4 linked regions of the Saccharomyces cerevisiae S288C genome follow. The protein of the gene in region 1 binds, or shares a complex with, the protein of each later gene. Each region holds a gene or a part of one and is shown on either strand. Other genes may lie near its edges. A codon is read from its position in the direction of its gene.

Region 1 (8,260 bases):
TCGAGATCGGTGATTTTATTCATCCTGCCTTGCCTCTCCCGTGCTTTTTTGTTTTTTTGAAATTTTATTTGTGCGGGTAATGAATATTGTTTGTCCTTCGAGAGGTCCTCGCGAAACCCTGCTACTTTTAGCCGCCCAACGATTGAAAAAGAAGGGAATTGCTAGATAGCTATCTCTGTCGGAAGCAAACAATATATATATATATATATATGTAACTCTTGATATCGGTGCTCTCTACTTTAGAGTATGCGGTGTTCCTCTGTCCATTAAAAGCAAGTGTCCTTTTCTTTAGAGTCTCGGATTATACTATCTTGGAAGTGAGTTTTTAAAGAACCAGAATGGCAGGACACTGGAATACAGATTGGCTTTATATCGTTACTGCCGAGGGAAGACTCTCATAATATCTAAATTTTCTGTTCCGATTCTCTTACTTGCAAATATTTTACACTCTGTCAGGAATAATCAGTAATTGCCTCATTGAATTATCTTAGGTAGTTCTCTTTCAACTGCTATTGTATTTCAATCTTGGGGACTACAAAACGTTGTAGCAATTGTTGACGATGGTTCCTACCTGAAATATGGCCTTAAGAATTTACCGCGAGCAACGGGAGGGATAATGTCCAACACGGCTTTTTATTATTATTATTTTCCGAACCTATAAATCCATCAGTATTCCTTTCAAGAGTTTTTCCGTCTCTGGCTGAAGGCTCATTTCCATGATGGGGTCACAATTATTATCGCACACAATTTTGGTGGCGTTGAAATTGATGCCGGAATTTGCCCCAGTGCTATAGGTGTTTTACTTAACACATAATTTCTGAACCCATAATAAATGACACGTAAATTTCCCCTTTTTATTTAGTGGAACTGAACCTGTTTTGCCATTAAGAAGCAAATACCTTCCTGTTGCTTGATTTGCCCTGTTTGTCTTATGTGTTGAAGAGAAATTAGAATATTATGTGGCGTATCAATGCCAAAGTATTATATAATGTGTTGAAACGAGCGGTATTTAATAGTAACATGAGTTACTATGGTAACGATCTAAATGTTTAAATCCTATACGATGAAGTATGGAAGCACTATTACAAAAGGAAATGTAAATGAGCATGTCAGAAAGTACTGAATTTGAGTTAAGAGTCTATTAATTGAATGAGATCTGAAAGTCACATATAAGAGCAATATGAGTCGTCACATTAAATGTATGAAGCTGCCGGAATCACCATTATATTAGCCATATATAATAATGAAACAATCGGCATGTGGTTTATACCTCTGTTATATAAGTACAAAAAGATCCATATTCATTCTTCATTAATACAACCTGTTAACTTTTAACTATCAACATAAAGAGCTTAGCTGTCTTAGTTAGCTTCGCTTTTTATCATAACTACACCTCCTTTAGGTAAAAGAGAAGTACCTCTAACTTACACTATTTCTTTCGTGGAAAGAAGCTGCACTAAAACAGGTTTTAAAACAGACCGATTTATTTACCATAGGATACCTACATATTTTTGTCCCCTCTACATATCGTATCGCCGAGCATTCATAGAAGTTGAACTACATCCTTATTTCAATTATGTGCAGTACGAATGCATTCTTTTTGCCAGGAGACAAACCACAAATTTACATAACTGCAAATCGTACTGTTTTGTGGGCATTTGGGTTCACATCAAGCAAGACGTACTCTCTTATTAGAGGCATAGAACGAACGCTTTTACAATTCATTTTCAATTCCTCTTCTGTTTCTCGACCTCGTTCTATGACAACTCGCAACAAAAAAAATGATTTCTTCCTTCTCTTGGTCGGGTTTGGAAAGTTGTGCGAGAAGGCGAAATTTCGGAAAAAATGCCATCTCCTAGAATCGAACCAGGGTTTCATCGGCCACAACGATGTGTACTAACCACTATACTAAGATGGCTAATTTCTTTATGAACTTTGTTGTATCTCAAAATGAGATATGTCAGTATGACAATACGTCATCCTAAACGTTCATAAAACACATATGAAACAACCTTATAACAAAACGAACAACATGAGATAAAACCCGTCCTTCCCTAGCTGAACTACCAAAAGTATAAATGCCTGAACAATTAGTTTAGATCCGAGATTCCGCGCTTCCACCACTTAATATGATTCATATTTTATATAATATATAAGATAAGTAACATTCCGTGAATTAATCTGATAAACTGTTTTGACAACTGGTTACTTCCCTAAGACCGTTTATATTAGGATTGTCAAGACACTCCGGTATTACTCGAGCCCGTAATACAACAAACTTTGACCTTCAGTATTTTTGTGTTGTGTTGTTCTATTAACGCCTCTCTAACAATAGATATTTTGGAATGGGTGGTAATTGTTAGAATGAAACTTTAACATATCGTCTATTTGATATTATTCAGGTTGCTAGTTTATTATTACCTGAGGTATAAGAAAATGACACAAATATTGGTAAACGGTGATCAGGCTTGGTGGAAGCTGAAATGCAAAGATTGTCAGCGTAATATGAATGTGAAGGAGAAATATAGAAGGAAAGAAGAAAAAGTAATATTATTATGTAAAACTATCGTCTTCATTTTGAGGATTTCAAGGTCTGGGAGTTGACTTCCTGGTATATTCTTTATACATAATATTATAGCCTTCAATAGTTGTGAAATCCCAACAATTATTAAATTATTTAAACCTATCTCTGTTATATATGCGCAAATCATCATTAAAATATGTGACAGCTGCTGGAGCCATTATTGTACTGATTATAATTGAAGAAAAGAGAATAATAAACCAATTGGTGTTTGTTTTATACTTCTCTTATACAAGGATAACAGAATCCATATTTAGTCATCATTAATACTATCTTTTAACTTCCATTTATCAAGTTATTAATCCTTGCATTTCAGCTTCCAATTAATCTATTGGTTGTTTCTCAATGTTCATGTCATTTTCTTATACCATATATGATAATAAATTGATAATATGAATATGAGTAGATCGAAGATAGTCGACCCTTACACCGGCAATAAGCAAGGCTGTGTTACATTATTTGATGTGTTGTGTTTGTAGTAGTTTTCTTCAGCCGAATTTGAGAGCACAGATAATATCAATAACATTGTAATGGAATGCACTTGGCTACTATGGACCTTATACATGAGAAAAATTTAGTCCATTATGAGTATCATCATAATGCGTTCAATAATATGACTTAAAATCAAAATCAACTTACTAGTATAACGTAACCGAAGACCCCTCCTTATTTTACCCTCATCGAACACTGCTGTTCTATTAGCTTTCAGTCAGATCAGGAAATGTTATGATTTTGTCGTTTTGTTTAGCTACTTTTGTTTTCTCAAATGTTTATTCTTTTTCAAATATTATATGTATAAAAAGATTCACCGCACCAACACAGAAAGCAATCAGATAGCAGGATTCAGTTTGAGACGGGAAGTAGGCAACTATACGGAAAGGAGAATTCTGCAGCCTATACAAATTTTATTGTATACTTTTTTCTCACAATTTGCTTTTTTCAATAGGAATAATCTCAACTACATGAAAAAATGCCGTAAATATTAATAAACAGTTGAATTTTTCTTCCAAAAAACATCATTCCATCGTTATAATTACATTATAGGGCCGGGAATAATTGAATTATGATAAATGTAAACACCAGTCCGAGAATCATAAAAATGAAAACAGTAATATAAAACAAGTAACTCAATTTACTCTTGTCATATTTCCTTAATTTACCGCTAACATCCATTAAACCTTGAGAAGCAACTTGAATACCTATCTCTGCAGCTCCAAGAACTTGCTTATCTTCATCAAGTGCTGATTGAAATGCCACAGCTCCTTGCTTCAAACTGCCCACAAGTTTGCTCATATCCTGAATCAAATCCTGTTGCAACGTGTCCTGGTCCTCAATTTGCCTATCGACTGATTTCGTAGTTTCATATCCTAAACCCTTATTCTGTCCCTTCCCCAACAATCTCTTTCTCAACTCCATAACAGCTTCGCTATCTTCGTTTCTATCAATAAACTCCTCATTTGGGTATTCTGTTTGCGATTCCGTGTCAACTGCATCTACAGAATCTAAATCGATACTATATCTTCTTGTTTTTGAACTGCTTTGGTACTGTTCGTACTGTGACTCCATTATTTTGTGGGCGTCATGTTTTGTTTGCAGATATTCAAATGCTTCTCTTTGATAAGTATGTTGATACCTCAAAAACTCCTCTGAGACCTTATTGTCGTCACTTGATCCCAGTTGTTTTGTAACTGCTTTCCTTCGTAGACGATTCAAATTAGTTAATTGTTTGCTACTCAAAACGTAGGACAGAAAGGGGTCGTTGGAAGTTTCAGCCATCTTGCCTTGCTATTATGTGTCCTGTCAACCTTTTTTTATTCTCTGTGTATGTTGAAATTGTATTCTACTTTATAAATTTAGTGGTGATAAAGTGGTGAAGCTTTCCTCCGGCCATATTTTATATATACTGACCTACTTTAGGGAAGAAAAACGAACAAATCCAGACCGACATCTGTAACAGGTATCGGTCAGTATCACGCTCATATGACAAGATATAGGGAGCAACTACATGCAATCACTATACGTACGTAAATATACTCTCCTATAAAAAGTAAATATATGAGAAAAATTTCCGCCCATCTACTATCAAACTATAGACTGTGGGAATACTCAGTCATTGTTAGCGAAAAAAGGCGGGATAGAACTTATTTTAGGCATCTTGAGCTTATTTCTTAATGCGTGGGAAAAATTGTAATTTGTGAAGCTTAAGGATAATCAGACGGAAAAGCTAGCTTGGATCCAAGAAAAACTCCCGGTAACCAGGCCAGCAGCCCCTAAATGGTCATCCACTAACACAAATTACTTGAACATGTTGAAATGTGTTGAAGAGCCATGATATTTTTATTTTTTATTCGAAAGAAGAATTAAACTGAGGAAAGAAAGAGCAAATTAATAGAGGGCCGTTTTATAATATCTCTAGGACTCAAAAATTCTTCCAAGAAAATTTGTCCGGGTAACGAACATAGTTTTATTATCTTAGGTCTATTCTCAAATAACGCTGTCATTAATTGGCGAGATGAAAAGATAATAGTACACAGTTTTTTTGAGAAGATATATGTTAGTTACCGCTAATTATTTTCAATGCTAAAAACTTTGCTTTTCGCATTTTTACTTTTGTTTTTTTTGTTATGTCTCTTACCAGCTGAACTATTTTGAACTTTGTGGAATGGTGTACTTAATCTACCTTCGACGTTGTTCATCTTGAAGAAGTCTCTATCCAAGTCCTCAGCGGCATTGTACAATGCAGCTTGTTTACCACCGTGCGTAACAGATTTGGCTTCTTTTTGTGTGTCACCACCAGTGTGAGCTGAAAACGTTAGCTGATTCAAATCACGAGCTAAATCCACGATATCAATGCCTTTAGCCTTAGCAGCATTTTGCACTTGCTCCTTTCTGGTGTCCGGTAATCTGTCGAACACATATAAATCTTTGTTAAATTCTTCACACTCTTCTCTAGTGTAAGGTGTATCATCCTCTAGATGGGGCGGAGGGTTGACATACAGTAATTTCCCATTGACGTAATCTTTCAATATATAACGACTTGCTCTTGGTTCATCAGCAGAACCGTAACCTTGAGTCATATAACCACGAGCTCTGGCGTATGCGACTAACAATTCTTGAGCAGTTGGTATATCCCCATTCCCACCTTCATCCCTTGATTTGGTTTGAATATGGATACCATAAATCGCTTCAATGTAATACTTTGGTATTCTTTCTGCTACTAAACCTGCTGGACCAATATAATCACGTAATTGATCAATAGGTAAAACACCATTACACACGAGCTCACCCTTGTTATATGCAAAGTTTGGGAAGACAAGACCGGGACAGTCACAAAGCATGACAGAATCAGATAACTTAATAGTTTGGAAGTGTTTTGTTTTACCAGGCGTGGATGAAACAGAAACTTTCTTGGCACCCACGAGCGAATTAATAGTGGAGGATTTACCTACATTTGGATAACCAACCAAACCAATATTAATCAGTGGAGGTTGACCGGGCAGAGGTGGCAATAAAGGCTCGTTTGGAGCTTTTGATAAAAACAATTCTTCCAGTTGGTCAATGGACAGAATTTTAACTTTTTCCATAACTTTTTCATCAGCATCGAACCCTTCTTTATCAGCTTCCTCGAAATCTTGTTCTCTATAATCTTCCCCCATTTCCTTTTGTTTCTCCAATAATTGATTAGCTCTCAATGCAGAGTAAAACGTGAACGAAATATTCTTGGAGATAAAGTACTTTGCCCAAGCGATACGTTGCTTTTTGGTCAATAAATCTGCTTTATTAACTAGCAGTAAGTTTGCTTTTCTGTCATCTGACTCTTTTACATATCTTTCTAAATCGACAGATCTAAACAGCAACGGATTCCTCGCATCTACAATTTGAACAACTAAATCTGATCTTTCAACAACTCTCCATAACTGTTTCCAAACTTCGATATTTCTTTCAAACGGTGTTAACAACAAGTCTTCATTGCTTTCTTGTAAATGTGCCAATTTTCTTCTCCATTCTAAAAACGCTTCCTTTTCTTGCCTATCAAGCTGAAACTTGGACATGCCCTCGTTCCATTCAGGCCTCCTTGGAACAATCAAATCCTTAGCAAGCGCTCTTTGCTTCGCATTAAGATTTCCACGCTGCTCATTAGTCATAGAAAACCCTTGAGATGTCGCAGAATCATTACCGCTATCCATTCTAATAATTTTAACATTTGAATGTCTATCGGCCGTGAAATCTTTGTCTGCCAGTGCAGCTGTACTCAAGAATTCATCTAAAGCTGATTCTTGAGTTACAGATCTTAATTTAACCCAGTTGGCCTCATGCTTATCGGTAGTGAACCTCATTTCACCATCAGGTAAATACTCGATGGCATTTTCTTTTTGACGTGCATATTTAATAGCTCTGCCTAATTCAAGCTTATTTTTATTTTTACGGTGGGTAGGTTTTGGCCCTTTTGGCGCCTTCCATTTCTTGGGAGCTTCTTTTGGTGGCATAGTTGGTGGGGGTCCTCAATATCAGATTTAGTTTTGTGTTTAAAAGAAGTTGGCTTATAAGCTCATCACCTCTTTATTAAGTAGTAGAATGCATTTTCATTGACAAATTTTTTAATCTCGGCATTGAAAAATTTCCAGGCGAAAAGGCGAGGGAAGGGAAGCTTGATATAATTCGAAAGAATACCCAATATCAAGAATAATAATATCATTTGATGTAATATCATTATATTTGTAAGAGCTTTTTAAAAGCATCATCTTTCTTGATTCATCTGTTGCCTCGTATTATACAGAATAATGCACACGTATAAAGTACCAATATATAATGTTATGTATACATATATTCTTATTTATTGTTGGGCAGTAATTACTGACATACACTTAAATTCATTTGAATAAGTGGCTTTCCATAAACGTACCTTCCCATCATCCCCAGCACTGCTTAAGATTGTACCCGTTAAATTCCAAGACACGGACCAAACTTCGCCATTATGGTCATCATGCTCGCTTAGAAGTTCAACTTGCAAGTTTGATTGTAGCTCAGCTTTCTCTTCGGTATTTGAGTCTGATCTGCCCTGTGCATCCATGTCAACATCAGCACTATTATCAAACATATTTGAGTTAGTTAAAGACTCCTCTGAGGCCAGGGGACTTAGTTTTTCTGTGATTTTGAAAATTCTAATTCTACCATCTTTGCAACCTGTTGCAATGAGTTGATACCATCTACCAATGGAAGGAGCCCAGCTGATACTTCTTATTAAACTTTTATGACCGGGAAGTTTTGCTGCAACGTGAAGTTTACCGTCTTTACCCCTTTGGTATATAATCGCTTGTTCCAATGCAGAGACTGCGAGCTTTTCAGGAGAAAATCTCGAAGGACACCAAGAGAGACAAAAATCAGACTGTAAATGATTTGCTGGTGGTATAGATAGCACTTTCATCTCAGAAGTCAGTGTCCATGACCTTAGGTCAGAAGGTTCTAAGGCATCATAAAGTCTGAGGATTCCATCGTTACCCAAACAAGCTAATTTTAAGCCCAAATGCGCTGGCGCAAATTTTACACTATAAAGTGATCCTTTGGAATCATTCAGGGTACACAGCTTGTTCCAACGACGGCCAGAGCATTCTTCTTGGTCGGGATCTTCTTCCCATAATTTTACCGTCTTATCGTAAGAGGCTGAAGCAATGATGCGCC
Region 2 (8,423 bases), on another chromosome or scaffold:
AATGTTGCAGACTGATTTTTTCCTACCGATGGCTAAACGTGAGGGATCCGATGCATCTAATTCAATCTCGATAGGGCCTGCAAGCACCTTTTCTTGCTTTGAAGGAGATGACAAGGCAGATTTGGTCTCATTTAAACGTGAAGTGATATCTTTCACTGGTGAAGATTGTCTTCCGATGCTAGACGACGGGTCTGGAGTAGGATACTCTTCCAATTCGTAATTATACCGTTTTCTTCCTAAGGTCAATACAGAAGTATTAGCAAGCTTACCAGGTTCTTTTTGTGGGCTTTCCAAAGGTTTACCAGCAACTGGTGATGATGGTGGGAAGAGATGGGACATAACCAAAATTGTGACGATTTTGTCGTGAAACTTCTAGCGAAAAGACTAATGAAATCGGCAAATATTGTGTAAATAGTATACCAAAAAAAAAAACGCTTCTATATATTGTTCCCCGTTGCTAGTAACGATAGAAACGGCAAATAAGGAGAGAAATTAAACTTTCTTGGGAGAGGCAGAAGTGTTTACTTATTCTTCTGAAACAAAAACAAACGCGAAAAAAAAATTATCGCGTTTGGATTATCATTATTTAGACATTAACACCTGTACATATTTGTATTTTAAAAGCCGAACATTTTTGGGTTCTATATCAGTTTTTTTTTTCTTCAAGCACTCCGTACACCACTAATATTATCACTGAGAATCTTCCTGCCACTTGCGGGAAGGATGAGATTGGAAACATGGCTGGAATAGTAAGCATAGGTTACTATAGAAAGCGGTAACAAAAAGCACTACTATGTGTAGATAAAGAACAAAGAGGTAAACGAATATATAAGTAAAGATGGGTAGTATGTACAGGAATTATTAATTGATGAGTCAACGTTCAATCACATCCGGTCTGATTTAGAGGATTACATGAGAAAGAAGCACTGAAAAAATTTTCCACCAGGAGAGGCCAGGTAAACTAAGACCTACGTTATTCACTATGCCAAAAGATTTAAAAATATAGAATGATGAATGTTGCCAGAGCCATTGATGATAAGAAATTGCACATAACGGATGCATAAAGAGCGAATAAAAAGATTTGAGTGTCAATACAAAAAGGTGAGAAGAAATAGTGTAAGACAGCAACACACATCTAGACCGCCAATGAAGTTGTTCTGAATCCAGCAGTAGAGTTTATTTAGTTCAAAGTTTTACTAACGATAATTAACTTTTATGTTTTCATTTTAAACAGAGGGTACTCCTTCATTCGGTAAGCGTCACAACAAATCTCACACCTTGTGTAACAGATGTGGTCGTCGTTCTTTCCATGTTCAAAAGAAGACCTGTTCCTCTTGTGGTTACCCATCCGCTAAGACTAGATCTCACAACTGGGCTGCCAAGGCAAAGAGAAGACACACTACTGGTACCGGTAGAATGAGATATTTGAAGCATGTCTCCAGAAGATTTAAGAACGGTTTCCAAACCGGTTCTGCTAAGGCTACTTCTGCTTAAATTTGATATTATCTATAAGTTTTGTTCTTTCCTAAAACGAAAATAATATAAATTATATATAGTTAATATTAAGCATTACAAGGTTTCTATAAAGCGTTGACATTTTCCCCTTTTGATTGTTGCCTTACAGTCCCATTGAGATATATAATGAATCGGCCTCCTCTAGTGTGGTTAGATCGAATGATTTTGACTCAAGAATAGTTCTTGCCATTTCTTGAAATTTCTCATCGTACTTTACTTGCATTATTCTCCCCGTTCTTTTATTCAATTGCATCTTCAATTCTTCTTCGATATATTCTGGTAAATCCTCAAAGGCATCTTCGTAATAAGAGGCTTGATCCTTTATCGTCAGATCATGCAAACTATCTACAAGGTGTCGATGATCTCTCATTTCTCTTTCGTTTGCTGTCACAGTTTCGGTTTGGCATACGAGAAACCTCCATAGTGACATAATCAATTGGCTTTCTACCTGCTTGATTTGTTCTTCACGCAATTGTTTGAAATGGTCTTTCCATAGCCTATATATTATGGTTAAAGTATGTTCAATAAGATGGCATCTGAGGTCCAAGTTCGGGGAGTCTTGTCCCACGTACCTTTCTATCATTAACGCTTGCTCCCTGGATAAGAATTTAGAGGAGTGGATGAGCATTTCTCCATTTACTATGGTCGCATCGTCTCCATAGATCATTAATAAATTTTCAAAAATATTTAAAACTTCATCTTTTAACTTCAAAAGCCATTTTTCCATCTTGTAACCTATTATAGGGGCAGTGAATTTGTCGCTATCCATCCCAATATCCTCTTTAGAAATTACCCTTGGGACACTTTGCAATCGGTCAGTATAAATCAGCTTTGATATCAATCCTCCCAATTCATTATCACCTATATTTCGGATTAACCCAAAAAAGTCATGGTACTTCGACATATGAAGAGTTGTAGTATCCACATTTTCATTATATACGTCGCCACTCTTAATTTCCTTTTCCAAAAGAGCGTATAATCTTGTAATACAATCTCTCCACCAACTACCGCTTATCAAGGATTTCAGATCTGAGGAATTGTCCATATTTAATATTATACTAGTGATAATATTAACGACCTCGACTGCACTAAATATTACATTTACCATTGGCTTGTATGAAATGGTTAGTGCTAGTTTGTAGACAAATTCAAATGATTTTAGAATATTTTCATCAAAAAATTCCATATAAGTTTGCTTAGGATGCGACTGCAGTACCCTTAATATACCTTCTAGGAGATCAAAGGAATACGAAATTATCAAATAGTCTATCAGTTCATATTGGAAAATCTGAGGTTCTACATGCAAATTCATATTTGATTCATGTATCGGTACTTTCAATACATGATGATAGATTCTTATTAAATCGCAAATAAAAAGAAAACAATCCTTCAGTGCTAAATTATGAGTGGCACTAGGACGAAATTGTACAATCTGATACATCAATGCAACGAGAAATGGGACAGCTAATTTCGATTCATTTGGATGAACTGATATTTCCTTGATCAAAACAGCTATATCCTCTAGCAAAGTATCTATGAACCTGTCGAGGGTCAACGTCTTTTTACATCGCAAAAGTAGAGAAACTATGGACTTCCCTATGGGGGCTCCTTTAGCAATGACGAAATTCTTAAATTTAAACTCTGTGATGTAGTCAAGCTTCAATCTATTTAATATTTCTATTGTGCTCAGGTCAGCGCCTATTATTTGATGAAGTAATATTGACTCTAGAAATAAACTCGTTTCATCGGGAATAATCCTATTTGGGTTTAGGGGAACCATATTTTTTTTCAGTAAATTATCACTTATCTTACGTTTTTTTGATTGTGGTGATTGAGGTTTTGCTTCGATTGCAACTGAGGACGAATCTGGCGTTATAGTGTTTGTGTTTGTTGATAATGTTGTTGACGGTGGTTTTACATTCGTAATAACTTCCCTTTTCGATTTTCCTCTCGCTTCCATCTGTAAGAACTTCTTCTCATCTTCCAGTTTCTGTAATTCTTGTTTTAATTTAGCCAACTCTTGAAGATGCTTGACTTGCAATTCATTAACTTTGACGGCTTGAATATTCTTTTCCTTTTCCCTTTCAATGTTCAAAAAGTTTATTTTATCACGAAGCATGCTTGCTTCACCTTGAGCTTTATTCAGTTGGTTAACCAGTTGGTTATCATTTTTACTCTGTTTATTGTTTAATGTGGTCGTTGTAACCTCCAAAGTAGTGGGAATTTGTGTTTGTAATGCTGCTGATGATGGCGGTATTTGAGTAAACCTTGGAGGCCTGGTGCCTAATTCCAAAAGAATATCATCATCGTCATCTGAAGAAAATTCACCCACCGTTTCTCGTCTCATCTATAATAGAAATATGCAAAAGAGTTTGATGATTGTGTTGACGTTTCGTGCACTATCGCGTATTTGTTTGCTTTTTATTTTATTGCATGTGCTGTTTTCCCCAAAAAATCGATGGAACGCTCGGATTTGGCTAGAGGCGGGAAAAATCACCAATAATCGAAGAAAATAGAAGAACCAAGATACTAATAGCTCTTTGTAAGATAAATTTTGGAGTTACTACAGGTTACTATCCTTATTCAGAGACTTTTTACTGCTTTGCTCCTAATATTTAGTAGGAAAGAGCGAGCCTGTCTGACTCTTTTTTTTTTAAAAAAATTCAAGGTAAAACCTAACTAAACATAAAATTTCCACTCGAGTTATTCCGCTTAAAAGTGCTTAACATCGGTGCCACACAATACGAACCTTAGTAGAGAACCGACCGTTACCTCTTTATTAGCCCTAGTTTGTACCACTTAAGCTCTAATTCCAATCTAATGTGTGTGTATTTTTTTCTATTGTTAGCGCCGCACCAAAGAGGATCATGGTAAATACAATTACATAAAGAAAAGAAAAGCAACAAAACAGCTTCGTTTGCACCTTTAGCAAACGTTGGAATTTTCCTAATCTCAAAACAAGTGGTAAATCTAATCCCACACTAAAGAAAGCACGTCTTTACCAGTGACTTTATCAATAAATCACCTGCACACGCTGTCCGGGTAAATAGAATTGTTACTAAATAATGAAAAATACATTCGCAGTTGTAAAAATGCCAACAGAAATACCTGATATACAGTTAACAAGTAAGATCGGATCACGCTGCCAAGGCGCATAACAAACTATAAAGCCATTAAAGATTATGGTCGTGACATTTTTGCAGGACCTGGAAGTTTTGCAAGATGCATTATTAAATAATTTGCAAAAATTAAGTGCAATCTCCCGCAGAAAAGAAAGCGGAGAAAGCAAGCATGATAATAAGGACAGTTTTGCAGCCATTGCCAACGAACACAATGATGAAGAAGAAGAGATTGAATTTGAGGATTTGGTGAATATTATAGAGAGCAAAGTTTCAGATTTCGAATCGGTACTGAAATGTAGTATTGTGGAAATGACCTACAAATACCCCGAATTAAAATTACAGTGGGAAAAAAGCCCTAGATACGATCAATGCGATAAGTTGCATATTGTGAAGCTTGATAAACAAATGAACGAGGACATATATGCTCAGTTGGTCGAAGAACTGGATTTCGTGTTGCAATTCGTCGATTGGTTCTATTGCTACCGCCTGAAAGTCAAAGAGATTCTACGACAACACCACAAACGTGACTTAGCTTGGAACGACGAGAAAAGAGACCGCGCTATAAAATTTCACGCTGTGGATTACGACAAGCTTCACCAAGGAACGTCGTCATCGTCAAGCTTAACGTCCACATCGATGGAAAAAGCCAGCACTAGAGAGAAGCTTTTGAGCAAAACAAAACAACTGACGAATAACTTGGTGAGAGGAAATCAAATTTTGCAGTCCGGAATTTTACAAAGTGACCTGAATTTGGATGAATTGAGAGCCCAAACCAATTCCTTAACACAAATCGATGACAAGTACACTCAATTCGAAACCGTCTTCAAGAAAACTGCCGATTTGGTCAAAGTACTGGAAAATGCCTCCCATCAAGAGAAACGAGATGTCTATTTATCACTTGGGTTCCTCCTATGCTGCGTCTCGTGGGTTCTATGGCGTCGTATTTTCAAGTTACCTGTTAAACTCGGCCTCTGGCTGCTATTCAAGTTTTTCAAGGGTATACTCGTCACCCTAGGTCTAGTTAAAAGCTATGCAGGCTCCTCGTCCTCTCTTCAAGCACCCAGTCTTGTGCTAAATGCACCCATTCTAGCCACTACAACTACATCCTCAGCAACCTCTGTGGAACCATTCGCATCTGTATCAGCCGTCAGTAGTATCCAGCGGGCTGTCGATGAGGCCGTGGACAGGATCGTCTCACATGATGAGCTATGATAATTTTAACATCTATATAACATAATAAGCGCATATACTTAGTTCTCTCCATCCTCTCCATTTATTTTCTCTCACCATTGTTTCTGTTCTCTTCACATGCGTTAGGTATAGCTTATACCCCCCACTGGTTGCGCTAAATACGCCTTCCCCACCGCATGTGAAAAAAGCTCGACCAAGCTCAACGCGCTGTTGCAAAATGGAAAAAATATAAAAGGAATCAAGCCATAGTTGAGAAAAGACCTTTCACACTTGGGCTTTTCTTTGGCAGGTGTTTGCTCTATTCTTCTCTTTCAGTTTGGTGCGCTATTCAGATTTATTGGTCGTCCTACTGTATACATCTCTTTCATTTTCTTTGTTTCTGCAGTGGGTGTTAAAATGGGAATACACATACCATATCTCACGTCAAAGACATCGCAATCAAATGTTGGTGATGCCGTTGGCAACGCTGATAGTGTAGAGTTCAACAGTGAGCATGACTCACCTTCAAAGAGAGGTAAAATTACACTTGAGTCACATGAAATACAGAGGGCTCCCGCTAGCGATGATGAAGATAGGATTCAAATTAAACCCGTGAACGACGAGGATGACACGTCGGTCATGATCACTTTTAACCAATCTCTTTCGCCCTTCATCATCACTCTGACTTTTGTCGCATCCATATCCGGTTTCATGTTTGGTTACGACACTGGTTATATATCCAGTGCGCTGATCTCGATCGGCACAGATCTGGACCACAAGGTACTTACTTATGGGGAGAAGGAAATTGTCACTGCGGCTACCTCTCTGGGAGCTTTGATTACCAGTATTTTCGCCGGTACTGCAGCTGACATATTTGGTAGGAAACGTTGTTTAATGGGTTCGAATCTGATGTTTGTCATTGGCGCAATCTTACAGGTCTCCGCACACACATTCTGGCAAATGGCTGTTGGTAGACTGATCATGGGTTTCGGTGTCGGTATCGGCTCCTTGATCGCGCCACTTTTCATCAGTGAAATTGCTCCCAAAATGATCAGAGGGAGACTAACTGTCATCAATTCCTTATGGTTGACTGGTGGTCAATTAGTCGCTTACGGTTGCGGTGCTGGGTTAAACTACGTCAACAATGGTTGGAGAATTCTTGTTGGATTGTCACTAATTCCCACTGCTGTGCAATTCACATGCCTGTGCTTTTTACCTGACACTCCAAGATACTACGTTATGAAGGGCGACTTGGCAAGGGCTACTGAGGTGTTGAAGAGAAGTTACACTGACACTTCGGAGGAAATCATTGAACGTAAGGTGGAAGAACTTGTTACTTTGAATCAATCTATTCCTGGTAAGAATGTCCCTGAAAAAGTCTGGAATACCATCAAAGAATTGCACACAGTACCATCTAATCTAAGGGCTTTGATCATTGGTTGTGGTTTACAAGCAATTCAACAGTTTACCGGTTGGAATTCGTTGATGTATTTCTCTGGTACCATCTTCGAAACTGTCGGTTTCAAAAATTCTTCCGCTGTTTCAATCATCGTGTCCGGTACCAATTTTATTTTCACTTTAGTTGCCTTTTTTTCCATTGACAAAATAGGCCGTAGAACCATATTATTGATTGGATTACCAGGCATGACCATGGCTTTAGTCGTGTGCTCTATTGCTTTCCATTTTCTAGGTATTAAGTTTGATGGCGCTGTCGCTGTGGTGGTTTCCTCCGGTTTCTCCTCTTGGGGTATTGTGATCATCGTATTTATTATCGTATTTGCTGCGTTCTACGCTCTTGGTATCGGTACTGTTCCATGGCAACAATCGGAACTATTCCCCCAAAACGTGAGAGGTATTGGGACTTCATATGCAACTGCTACAAACTGGGCTGGTTCACTGGTTATTGCATCCACATTTTTGACCATGTTACAGAATATCACTCCTGCAGGTACATTTGCCTTTTTCGCGGGATTGTCGTGCTTATCAACCATTTTCTGCTACTTCTGTTATCCAGAATTATCGGGATTGGAGTTAGAAGAGGTACAAACTATTTTGAAGGACGGGTTCAACATCAAAGCCTCGAAAGCTTTGGCCAAGAAGAGAAAACAGCAAGTTGCCAGAGTTCATGAATTGAAATATGAACCAACTCAAGAGATTATAGAGGATATATAGTCCTTTCACGAGGTAAAAGGAAGGAGACGCAATTGAATATTCAAATACATAGTAGAAAATAAATAAAAATAAATTACAAGATAGAAAAAAGTTCATTGTATTTAAGTCGAACTAATTGTTGTATGCATATATAGAAGATTAACTAACCCGGCATTGAAGACCTTTTTTTTTTTTCACCTTGAGAGAAATACTGAAAATTTTTTTTGCTGGGATGAGATGAGATGCCTACCTAAAGTATTTCGAAGGTGAAAGCGTTTTATTATAGAGTACTGAAATAAAGCACAATCAGGAATAACAAATTAACTGACAATGGCACCTTTAACCAAGAAGACAAACGGAAAACGTTCTGCTAAAGAAGTTAGTCATTCAGAAAAGAAATTAGCCAAAAAACCTAGAATTTCTATTGATTCGTCTGATGAAGAATCAGAACTATCCAAAAAGGAA
Region 3 (8,075 bases), on another chromosome or scaffold:
TTTGTTGAGACAGAAATTGTAGTAACCACAGAAAAGTTTATTTTTTCTTATACTCAAGTGAACGGAAGCATTCCTCTTTTTTGGGAATCTGTAGAAAGTCAACTGTTGTATGGAAAAAAAATTAAGGTAACAAAAGATTCTATTGAAGCTCAGGGAGCTTTTGACAGGCATTTTGATAATTTAACCTCAAAGTATGGTGTTGTGAGTATCGTTAATATCATAAAACCTAAAAGCGAATCACAAGAAAAGTTAGCACTGACGTACAAGGATTGTGCTGAATCAAAGGGAATAAAAATAACAAATATAGAATACAGCTCAAGCGTTCTGACAAAGTCTCCCCACAAATTACTTTATTTATTAAAACAGGATATTTACGAGTTTGGAGCGTTTGCCTATGATATCTCTAGGGGCATCTACTTTGCAAAACAAACGGGGGTATTAAGAATAAGCGCATTTGATTCAATTGAAAAACCTAACACAGTTGAAAGGTTAGTGAGCAAGGAGGTACTTGAATTAACCACAAATGAAATTGATGTATTTGAATTGACTTCCCCATTCTTGGACGCACATGATAAGCTATGGTCAGAAAACTATTACTGGCTTGATCGAACGTATACTAAGCACACGAAGAATTCTGGTAAATATACAAAGGTTTATTCGAAGTTATTTGGTTCCCGAGTTAGATTATACGACCCGCTCCATATCTACATCTCTCAGTATTTAAAGCAATTAAGGTCAAAATATACGTTTGAGAAAGACATCTCAATTTTTGCAGGTACATTTAATATAAGTGGTAAAATTCCAAAAGATGATATAAAAGATTGGATATTTCCAAAATCAATGTCCAAGGAGGATGAAATGGCTGATCTTTATGTTATCGGATTAGAAGAAGTGGTAGAACTTACCCCAGGTCATATGCTTGCTACCGATCCATATGTCCGACAATTTTGGGAGAAGAAGATATTAACACTATTAAATGGGCCCGGACGCAAAAAAAAATATATCCGTTTATGGAGTACACAGTTGGGTGGTATTTTACTATTATTATTCATGAATGAAACGGAATATTCCAAGGTAAAGCATATTGAGGGGGATGTTAAAAAAACCGGGTTTGGAGGAATGGCTTCTAATAAAGGAGCTGTCGCGGTTAGTTTTAAATACTCAGCTACAAGATTTTGCGTACTAGTATCTCATTTAGCGGCAGGCTTAGAAAATGTTGAACAAAGGCATAATGATTATAAGACGATTGCGAAAAGCATACGATTTTCTAAAGGATTACGAATAAAGGATCACGATGCAATTATTTGGATGGGCGATTTCAATTACAGAATATTGATGTCAAACGAAGATGTTAGACGAAAAATTGTTTCTAAAGAATATGCCAGCCTATTTGAAAAGGATCAACTTAATCAACAAATGATCGCAGGTGAGTCTTTTCCATATTTCCATGAAATGGCGATTGATTTCCCACCTACCTATAAATTCGACCCAGGAACTAAAAACTACGACACGAGCGAAAAAATGAGAATACCAGCATGGACTGATAGGATTTTAAGTAGGGGAGAAGTACTAGAACAGTTAGAATATAAATGCTGTGAAGATATACTATTTTCCGATCATCGGCCCGTATATGCCATATTTAGGGCTAGAGTGACTGTAGTGGATGAACAAAAAAAGACTACTTTGGGTACGCAAATCTACGAGAAGATTATGGAAAGGCTAGAGGGATTGGATGATGATGAGAAAATTGCAGTTTTGAGTGATGATGCATTTGTTATCGAAAGTTTTGAGGGCAGTGATTCGATAGCTGGCCCTACGCATTCTCCGACACCAATTCCCGAGCCCAAAAGAGGTAGAAAGTTACCACCACCTAGTTCGGATTTAAAAAAATGGTGGATTGGAAGTGGGAAGCAAGTTAAAGTAGTTCTTGACGTAGACCCGGCCGTTTACATGATTAATCCTAAAAGAGATCCCAATCCATTCGTTGAGAACGAAGATGAGCCACTTTTTATAGAAAGGTAAGTAAATGATCATTAGTGAAAAGATTATATATAAATATATTTATTTAGCGTTCCTTCCCTATGCGGCTGTGAGCGTACTCTCTATTTTTGGCTGGAACTTTTTGCCAAATCATTGTTGTCCCTGTGTAGATCTTCTAACTGAACTAACAGAGAGTCCATTTTCTTTTCCATTTCATCCAACTTAAGTTCGACTTCCGAGATTTTCTCTTCTCCTCCTTTTAGTAGGTTCAAAACATCTAAAATATCCTTTGCGCCTGCAGTACTGACATCTTCGGGTGTATCACGAGTCATATTATTGACGACGAGTGAAGTGTTCTGCGATTTCTCTAGAGTAATTGATTCAGTTGCTCTTTCTCAAAATTGTGTGATTAAATATTATTTCTTTGTCAATATTTACCCGGCCTTTTAAATTTGTATCACCACTTGAAGAACATGCTGCAGTTGCCGGTTAGCTTCTAACCACCTTTCGATATAGGAATCGAAATAGGAATCGAAATTTATTTCTAGGCCCAAGGATCAAAATATAAGTGTATATAAACACACACACACACATATATATATATATACGTACATGCATAGGAGAGGATCTTATTTTGGAGATTCTATCTGGGGTTGCTCGTGTTTATCCACAACAGGGGTTGTAGTGTCTTGTTTCCTCAGTTTCTTCATTATTTCTTCAAAAATGGGACAAAGAGATGATTCTCTGTACATTTCTACAAGCGTTTTTTTACTTGAAACTTGATTCTCAATCATTTCTACAAATTTTGGATCTATAGGAACGTTACCAAGGTATGGGACAGAAAATTGCTCCGATAATCTTTTACCACCCCCACTGGAAAAGATATTTGTACACTCAGCACAATGCGGGCATACAAACCCTGACATGTTTTCAATTATACCGAGGATCTTTAAATCGACCTTCTTGCAGAAATTGATTTCTTTTTTGACATCAGCTGTTGCAACACTCTGTGGGGTAGTTACTACAATACCACCATCTGGTTTGGAATATCTCAGCTCCTCTGCAATCGATATATGTTCATCCGACGTTCCCGGAGGGGTATCGATCAGTAAGTAATCCAGTTCACCCCAGGCGACGTCAGAGATGAATTGTTTTATCATAGAAGTCTTCTTAGGACCCCTCCATATCACGCTGTTCCCTCTATCACCTAGTAGAAACCCCAATGATATTACACTAAGAGAGCCAGTAGAGTTTGTCTCCACTTTCACAGGTTGCCAACCTTCAGGACCTTGATATATAGATTCGTTCTCTAGGCCAAACATCCTCGGTAAGGATGGCCCTGTTAAATCAATATCTAAAACTCCAACTTTGAAGCCCATACTGCAAAGAGTCAGCGCAGTCTGTGTCGTTACCGAACTTTTACCGACACCACCTTTTCCGGAAAGGATCAATATGATATGTTTTATTCCTGCCAAAGAGGCCGCAGGAACGCCTATCTCCTGTTCCTCCATGCTTAATTGTAATAGTCGTATTAGTTTTGGGTGCTCCTCGACGCATGTGTATAGTTTTCATTTTGATGGTGTAAAACGTTCATGACTAATGAAGCCTTCCGATTTCTTTCCATTTTGCTATTACTTGCGCGATGAGCCGTCTAATGTGATTCTTCCAAATAATATCTAATAAACCCATGGTGTTTACTCTGTGATAGGAACCAAAGATCCCGTAATTATCGCTTTGTAATTGTATTTCCAGTTATTTCTGTACATTCTAGGTTACTGTTCAGGGATATGTTTCACTCTTATCGATGTGGCGTGCAAAAAATTTGAAGGGGCGACATATCAGGGAAAGTATTAGTGATTTTTTATAATGTTGCACTATCTCAGATGAAATTTATGCATGCTAATTGGCGGATACTACTCTACCGTTGTTGCAAGCTACGTAGGAACGTTCACGGCTCTTTCTTCCATTAATTTTAAATTGCGAAAGTATCCAGTAGTTGTTAAAAATGGAGTTTTTTCAACTCGCGCCTTTTGCCAAGGAATGGTAGAAAACAAACAGTAGTTCACTTGAGACTGTGAATGTGTTAGAAAATGTGATTGAAGAGCCTCACAACACTAGGCTACACAGATGAGTTCAAGGTATGAGAAATTATTAGACTATTCTAAAGTTAGAGTAGCGCTTTTTGTTAAACATCTACCATAACACCTCGATATTGGGAGTTATTGACCACGAGTGAACTTCGTTTACTAACTATAGCGTGTGTATATAGATTTGCAGGGGGAAACGCTTATCAACGTGATACTGGTAGAACACAGTTATTCGGACCGGCTGATGGATCAAATAGTCTCGATGACAATGTATCATCAGCGCTAGGGAGCACAGATAAATTAGACTACTCCCAAAGTACTTTGGCATCTCTTGAATCTCAAAGTGAGGAACAGATGGGAGCTATGGGTCAGAGAATAAAAGCACTCAAGTCATTATCGTTGAAGATGGGTGATGAGATTAGAGGCAGCAATCAAACTATTGACCAGCTTGGTGATACTTTCCATAACACTTCTGTAAAACTCAAAAGGACTTTTGGAAACATGATGGAGATGGCCAGAAGATCTGGGATCAGTATAAAAACATGGTTAATAATATTTTTTATGGTAGGCGTGCTATTTTTTTGGGTATGGATTACATAAATATTTGCATATTGTACATTAAACCTAAGTGACAAAATAAGAGCGACGTTTGTTAGATGATTGTAGATATTGATACGTGAAATAAAGGATAGTTATGATAGCATCATAAGATATCAGCATTCTTTTATTTTTATAACTACTTAAGCGTTTAATCTTGATTTTTTTTTTTCTCCATATTTCCTAGGATACCGACAGCGTTCCTTTTCGCCCTATAGTGTTTCCTTACTTTGTATCTTCTGTAAATAGATGGACCTTTGAGTATTGCGATAAACAAAACAATAACAATTAAGTAACCGGGCATGCCGTTCCCGTGGATTATGTCTAGGAAACTGAGGACATTATGGAATGGAGAATTTATCAATCTCCCCTTCAACTTAGAGCTGTATAGAGCTTTTGATGGAATATTTAAGGACACGAATGCTTCTCTCAGCAATTGAGGGTTGTTAGAAGTCAAGGAGTTGCCAAAATTATCTTTATTGTAGTAGTAATTATTTGATTTATCAATGATAATCACATCACCAATTTTATATTCTCCAGTAATACCATATTTTCTAAAAAAATTCTTCTCCTTTGAAATATCTAAATATCCTAATAACAATTTTTTTTGATCCATATGGGGAATCTCTTCACGCATTTTATCAACAATTTTGTTAGCCGGAGCCTTTTTTTCCTTTATTTTCTTGATCCCGTCTGCTTTCCTTGCCCTTCTCTCATTAATTTCTTCGAAGTTATTTTCCATCCGAATATGTTCATACTCCCAACTTGCGAGGAGCAAGTTTTTAATAAGCTTGTTGCTTCCTTTGATATGTTTGTGGTCAGTGCTACTTATTAACTGAATTGCTAAATCACTGTAGCTCTTGGTTTGGAAGGAAATTAATTTTTTCAAATTAGAAGAGTCAACTTCGGTAACTAAGGGATTAGAATACTTTTTTACCCAATCCATAATGGCATCAATATTTCTCATTTCTGTTGTGGAGTATCCGGGGAAAACATAGGATATGGGATCACCATCTTTAAACATGAAAAAAGTTGGGAGTTGCGTAACCGTATTCATAGTAAAGTATTCTTTGTTAAAAACCTTTTGAGTTTGGCTGGCGTCGTAGTTGATCTTTTCATACATTCTTCCAAAAAGATTACGTGACAAATTTATTAGATTCTTGTCAATTTGGTGCAAATATATGTTTGGAATTTTTGACAAAGGCTCGATTAAATACTCCAAAATGTCAAAATCTTCAATAACAACAGTTTCGGGGTCATATGAAAAAACTAAATGGATATCATTATTAGTTACTCGTCCCCTTTCTTGCAGAAAATCAATGTCTCTGTTTGCTTTTTTTTCGAGCTCCCCTTCTGTTATATTGGGAAATTTACTGTTTGTAAAAGTCCTCCTGGCAAAATCTACATAGCCATCTGACTTCGCTGAGTAGCCATTGGGATAGTCGAACAAATTATTTGAGGTTTTATTGGGTAGGACTAATGCTACCTTGGGTTCTCTATCGGCTCTGTGGTTGGTTATTTTCACCAAGTCGCCAAAGCCCAGTTCTTCACAGATTGTTGGATTAGATTCGCAATTAACGTGGCCCGTGTTGATATCATCCACGGCTAACTGTCTTGAAATGATCTTCCAAGTCCTTTGGAATTCATGGCATTTGTCACAGTTTTTGAATTCTAGTGAATCATCGCTATTTTTCATATCTTTTGTTGGCCAGAAGGAAACCAAATGTGGCCTAGTCGCCTTACCAGCGATCAGCTCGAGAAAATCAAAGCCTTCGAGATACTGGCTCTCACTTTTAGCAGAATCCAGATCAGTATCGAGGTTATTTGGGTCCATAGACTCCCTGCGTGCAAATGCAATTAATGATTCTTTGGTCCTCGGTGTTTCAGTGAACGATTTGATGTATCCTGAGGGGTTATAAAGTCTAATTTCAGGGAAGTATTCAATATTTTCATCTCCACACAAATCGGCGCTCTCGATGCAGTTAACCTGTGAAAATGTTATGTTCAGTGTTTTGCTCTCCTCTTTAAACTCCTCCCATGTTTCCATCCAAACAGGTGCTAAATGTTTGCAGTGCGGACAGTATGGACTATAGAAGTCAATAATATGCAGCCCCTTAGATAGCTCTTCTTTGAAGTTTGTTGGATTTAAGGGCTCTGGAAAGCCCTCTGGTGGTTCAGCGGCGGCTATAGTGAATTTCAGCAGAAAGGTGATGCATGAGAAGAAGGTAACTACGAGCCTTTTCAGATTCATTTTCATGGCTGCTGCCTTACAGCTAGTTTTTATAGATAGTATTTTTCTTTCCTGGATAGAATTTCTTGAGGAAAATAAATAAGGAAATGAGTATCAACACGAGGAACAGTACAGGCGCCTTCTTAGTGCTATGATCTTCACTGGTTTATGCTTTACGTCTTTATCGCACTAAATTGAAGCCATTCATTTGTTCGCACCTATTTCCGCTTCAAAAATAGTATTTAAAAAAGAGACTATTTTGGTAAGGATAAGCTAAAATAGTGCCAAGAAAACGGCCAATGTAGAATATTGTCAAGACTATGAAAATGTATAAGTATATTTTGTCTATAGAATCATGTGGGTGTATATAATGTGTGCGCAAAGCATTTGGTGGGCTGTTCGATGCAAATCCTTTTAGTATTAGGAAAAGAGAGGCTTACCTTATTTGGTATATTTACAAGCTGTAATACCTAAAATATTAGCGCAGGCATATTCATAGCACACTCAATGTGTGGCGTGTGTGAATTTTAAGGCTTTAAATTACCATAGTGCTAATATTTTCTAGGCGGTTTCTGAAATACTCAAAGGACACTAGAGTGATTGCCGAGGCCGGAATGGTTCGTACTAGGTTAGTAGTAAATCCAGAATAAAATCCCTTTAGTCCCTCTTGTGCATAAGTTGCTTTAATGAGGGGGAACAGACGTCGTTGAATGGAATCTGGTATATCTGATTTCAGTTGCATTCTGGTTCGTAAAATTTCGTGCGGATATGTTACTGCTGATGCAATCATCTTAGAGACGGACGATGCCATGATCAACCGTTGCAAGTTGATGGAGTTGGTGTTGTTCTCCCGAGAATAGCAGTGAAATCTTACCTTCAAATCTTCGTATATAGGGAAATGGATAGCCACATGAAATAGCCCTAATAATGAGGGGACCAGCCCCGCATATAATGCTTTAAACCCTTCCTGATAAAATAGCTTTCTGAATGCATCGAAAGTGCCTTTGTAATGTGTGGGGTGCTCACCGAGGTTTGATTGCAGCATAAGTCTTGTCTTCACAACCCAGATTGGGTTGGTCAAGGTGGTAGATGCAGCGCCTGCCGTGATTGCAGCACATGACTGAGCAACAAAATCAAACTGTGGGAAGATGCCGTGAAAGAACTTTTTGCTGAATTCATAC
Region 4 (3,690 bases), on another chromosome or scaffold:
AAAATTATTCATAAAAGTTGTTAGTAAACGAAATTTTTTCAAAACGATGGAAGGCATGGTTTAATATTTGAGGAAACATGGTCAGGCTCTTTAAGAATTAACTGCGCAAATATGGGTCATCACCTTTCTGAAACTAGGTAAGCTGCTAGCAAAATAAATAAATAATCCACTATAGGCCACTCCAACAGGGAAATAAAGACTTTTTTGTATCTCTATCGCAATGTGTATTTTCACATTTACTTATCGTTTACAAGTAGCTTCATCCATGGTAACGGATTGGATATTTGCCAGCACTTTTTCGTAGCCTAAATCTCATTCCTCGTTCATTTCCCTCCTCAAATCGATGATAGGTTTTCCGGATTTAACATACCTTCTTTTGGTCAATAATTTCGACGATAGCGGCCAATTTACCTGCGGATTGACCCTTCTTGATCAAAACCACACGGCCAACTTCGACTAATCTCCAGTTAGAAGCCTTGACAATAGAATCGGTGGACATTGTTTATTTTATTTTTCACGACTCTCTTTGTTCACTAAGACAAACAATTAAATTTGTTATACAATCGGCAGACCTGATCAACTTAACCTTAGATTACTTTTTTTTCAGTTCAATAGTACTCGACGAGTACGAAGGGCAGTCCACTGAAAGCTCTACGCTCTCTCCGTTGCCAATTGGGCTGAGAATGGAAACACTGCGCGCTGAAGGGAAACCCGATTATGGAAAAATGCACGCAGCTGCAAGCAGCAATCTCTCGTAAACCGCTCTTTTCCGGGCGGAAAGTTAGGCCGACACCTGTTTGAAGCTTCATAAAATGCAAAATCGAAAAAAAATTGATAACGGACACTCAAAATTTGATATTTCACACATATTATGTATGTGATGTCAAGATGTAAAAATAGTGTATGGGTGTATTTGCGCTGTCAATTATTTTACTCAGAGTATAGTTACATTCTGGCAAGAATTTGCTGGTTTTGTCTTTTTTTACTTCACAACTAATGCTGGATTTTTTTATTTAAACCTAATTTCTTCAGTGAACTCCAATGTGTATTCATGTTTGATTTTAAAAGCTTCAATTTTAAAAGCTTCAATTTTAAATATCCGATGACTGTTAATCGCAGCTGCTAGTGAGATGACTGACAAAAGGTTCAGTAGAAACATAAAATATATAACAAATGTGTTGAGAATGATAGTATGATACAGTGGTATCATATTTCGTTCCTATTTGAGGTACCAGTAGTTCTTATCAAGAAGATTCAATGAGAAAGGTAACTGAATGATGATATAATTTGCGATCTAGGGCTAATCACTTGGAACACCGCCATGTTCTATATGGGTGATTAGCGAAGTGCGAAAAATTTTTTATCTGATATTTTCCTTGAACAATATTTCTAATAACACTTGCGTTGTTGCAACTGGCAGATTAACCATGTTGCTCAATATTCCTTCCTTGTATATGGGAGAACATCTTGAGGCAATGTTTAGAATTTAAAAATGTGTGCTCCCTTAAACTACGCTACTCAGAAAGGATCTTCGTGTGTACGGTAACTGACCAATGAATATTGTGCGGTAAGTATCTTATGTTTCTTGTTGCTGAATGTACGGTTCATGCAGTAAATTAGCTACTCTAGTTTTCTTGTTATTGCAAGAAGCCGCGCATTGCTACATGCAGAAAAAAAAAGAGGAAATAATATAAGGTATATCATTAAGAAGGATACTGGAAGAACTCAACAAGGAGAGAACGGTAGAAAGGTAATATATAATCATCATAGCGATGTCAAATTCTAGGTATTCTCAGACCGAATCAAACGTATGTAAATCACCGGCAACACGCATAGGTGTTTAGAATGGGACCTAGCTTGCTATATGGATGTTATAAGCTACTAACTATTGCTTCTGTACACCGGATGAGCAGATGTATCATCCCTTCATGTACATGTACTTTAAACAGAATGATAGGAAACTAGAGGGGTTAGCCAATAAATTAGCTACATTCAGAAACATAAACCAAGAGATTGGAGACCGAGCGGTCTCTGACAGTTCTGTCATAAACCAAATGACAGATTCATTGGGATCGATGTTTACCGATATCAAAAATTCGTCCTCAAGGTTAACCCGATCATTAAAGGCTGGTAATAGCATATGGAGAATGGTGGGTTTGGCGTTATTAATATTCTTCATTCTATATACCCTGTTTAAGTTATTTTAGTGAGCCAATCAAGCCAAAAATAAATAATGTACATAGATGTATTCAATTTAAGAAATAGGAAGAGAATGGAATAAGGCAGGCATGAAATTTCATTTGCCTTCTGCCGCATTCTTACCCAATCTATAACTGCCAATCGCACTACCCCAGTTAATTTTGGATCTCGTGACTGGTAATCTTCTTCTTAAGGCCTTAAACTGTTTTTCGTTCAAGTCGAAAAATGAAAGATCTAGATCATTTTCGAAATTCGTCTCAATATCCCTTATTGTGCAAACAACGTCATCAACGTTAGATTGATTGATATCCTTCCCAGATTGGAAACTAACGTTACCGTCTTCGTAATAGTGGACTTGCGTAGAGATTTGACCGGATAACTCCCTGGTCTCCAAATCGTAGATGTAGCTTGATCTCCAATGGCCGTTCCAGAAATTGTTTGGATTATATTTGGTGCTAACAATAATAATAGAAATTTTACTTATTTCCTCAGGGACTGGGTAAACAGCAAAACTGACATCACCTGGAAAGCTCTGAAGAAGATATTCGTGCAATTTATCGTGCAGTTCTTTCAATTGCCCTTTCTCTATCTTTGCATGCGTGAACTCATATGGTTCAATGTCAAGGCCCTTGCGCTCTAAATGGTTAACTGAAAATATTACGGAATTTACGGGATCAAAAAACTTTGCTCCTTCCTTGTTGTATTTGGAAATAATTACAGAGTTCCCGTTGACTTCTATAGGGATGCAATTCTGCACGTTGTAATTCTCAATAGCATCCAAAATAGTATTTTTGGAGTTTTCACTTGTGATCTTGATTAGATCGTCGTATACTTCCCTTAATTCTCCTGGAGGGCTGTCATTGATGATCTTGTTGATGACCTCTTCGAATTTACTACTAGACATTTTCTGTCGCTCTTATGATCCGTTGGATTAACGGTCTGAATAGTACCTTACAGTTGCTAACACCTTCCTATACTCAAATCCAGTACTAGCCACTGTAAAATCAGTATTCCAATAGGAAGAAAAAGGGGATCATAACCCGGCTATCGTATCACATGATAGTCACGTGCAGTGATTATCACGTGATCCGAACTGTTGTGAAAAAACGCGACGCGAAAAAAAAAATGCTGGGCTTCAACAGGAAAAAGACCAGGAATGAAAAATAGTTGGAAAGGAAACAACTGTCTTTTCCGGTCATTCCAACAAAGTTGCTAGATCCGCGGAACCATTTTCGTCATTTTTTTTTTTTCACTCTTTTTTCTCATATCGGTGGGCATTGTACCTGATCATGCTAGACAAATAACGTGGGAGGAGGGAGAAAGTATTGGAATCTAGACAAAGATTTTTAAGTTATTTTTCTATTGTTTCCCTCCTTGGCTTGTTGCATCCCGTTTTGTTTTATTTACTTGCTTTTTTTTTTTCTTATTTATTTATTTATTTATTTATTGTTATTTGGCTATTGTATTCCGTGAACCCGTTTTTCTGCTACA

The links.
Region 2: the proteins of USE1 (region 1) and SEC20 are in contact, whole or in part, in a cryo-EM structure (PDB 8EKI), measured with the Saccharomyces cerevisiae proteins. Residues at the interface, in NP_011417.1 of Saccharomyces cerevisiae: Asn23 (codon at 4,291), Arg26 (codon at 4,282), Arg27 (codon at 4,279), Val30 (codon at 4,270), Thr31 (codon at 4,267), Gln33 (codon at 4,261), Leu34 (codon at 4,258), Gly35 (codon at 4,255), Ser37 (codon at 4,249), Asp39 (codon at 4,243), Phe46 (codon at 4,222), Gln50 (codon at 4,210), Gln54 (codon at 4,198), Phe58 (codon at 4,186), Gln62 (codon at 4,174), His65 (codon at 4,165), Asp66 (codon at 4,162), Lys69 (codon at 4,153), Ile70 (codon at 4,150); in NP_010786.3 of Saccharomyces cerevisiae: Asp14 (codon at 4,737), Leu17 (codon at 4,746), Asn18 (codon at 4,749), Leu20 (codon at 4,755), Gln21 (codon at 4,758), Cys104 (codon at 5,007), Leu107 (codon at 5,016), Ile109 (codon at 5,022), Val110 (codon at 5,025), Leu112 (codon at 5,031), Lys114 (codon at 5,037), Tyr121 (codon at 5,058), Val125 (codon at 5,070), Glu126 (codon at 5,073), Leu128 (codon at 5,079), Asp129 (codon at 5,082), Leu132 (codon at 5,091), Gln133 (codon at 5,094), Asp136 (codon at 5,103), Trp137 (codon at 5,106), Tyr139 (codon at 5,112), Cys140 (codon at 5,115), Tyr141 (codon at 5,118), Lys144 (codon at 5,127).
Region 3: USE1 (region 1) and BET1 share a complex: the UniProt entries of both Saccharomyces cerevisiae proteins name them as parts of the SNARE complex.
Region 4: USE1 (region 1) and SFT1 share a complex: the UniProt entries of both Saccharomyces cerevisiae proteins name them as parts of the SNARE complex.

The regions. Positions count from the first base shown.
Region 1 is NC_001139.9:313,439-321,698, reverse strand, and holds USE1 (SNAP receptor USE1), read right to left. Parts: upstream 4,358-8,260; coding exon 3,620-4,357; downstream 1-3,619. Other genes in the region: ribosome biogenesis GTPase LSG1, read right to left, coding at 5,146-7,068; SEH1 (Seh1p), read right to left, coding at 7,416-8,260. UniProt on the Saccharomyces cerevisiae protein: SNARE required for targeting and fusion of Golgi-derived retrograde transport vesicles with the ER.
Region 2 is NC_001136.10:1,443,269-1,451,691, reverse strand, and holds SEC20 (Sec20p), read left to right. Parts: upstream 1-4,697; coding exon 4,698-5,849; downstream 5,850-8,423. Other genes in the region: PLM2 (Plm2p), read right to left, coding at 1-339; 60S ribosomal protein eL37 RPL37B, read left to right, coding at 839-845, 1,235-1,494; LCD1 (Lcd1p), read right to left, coding at 1,619-3,862; myo-inositol transporter ITR1, read left to right, coding at 6,225-7,979; PUF6 (Puf6p), read left to right, coding at 8,289-8,423. UniProt on the Saccharomyces cerevisiae protein: SNARE required for targeting and fusion of Golgi-derived retrograde transport vesicles with the ER.
Region 3 is NC_001141.2:344,538-352,612, reverse strand, and holds BET1 (Bet1p), read left to right. Parts: upstream 1-4,107; coding exon 4,108-4,118; intron 4,119-4,249; coding exon 4,250-4,667; downstream 4,668-8,075. Other genes in the region: phosphoinositide 5-phosphatase INP51, read left to right, coding at 1-2,022; CMI7 (Cmi7p), read right to left, coding at 2,103-2,312; iron-sulfur cluster assembly protein CFD1, read right to left, coding at 2,610-3,491; protein disulfide isomerase EPS1, read right to left, coding at 4,816-6,921; YIA6 (NAD+ transporter), read right to left, coding at 7,430-8,075. UniProt on the Saccharomyces cerevisiae protein: SNARE required for targeting and fusion of ER-derived transport vesicles with the Golgi complex.
Region 4 is NC_001143.9:428,715-432,404, reverse strand, and holds SFT1 (Sft1p), read left to right. Parts: upstream 1-1,772; coding exon 1,773-1,808; intron 1,809-1,949; coding exon 1,950-2,207; downstream 2,208-3,690. Other genes in the region: 60S ribosomal protein eL14 RPL14A, read right to left, coding at 371-499; CAP1 (Cap1p), read right to left, coding at 2,297-3,103. UniProt on the Saccharomyces cerevisiae protein: Vesicle SNARE required for retrograde transport within the Golgi complex.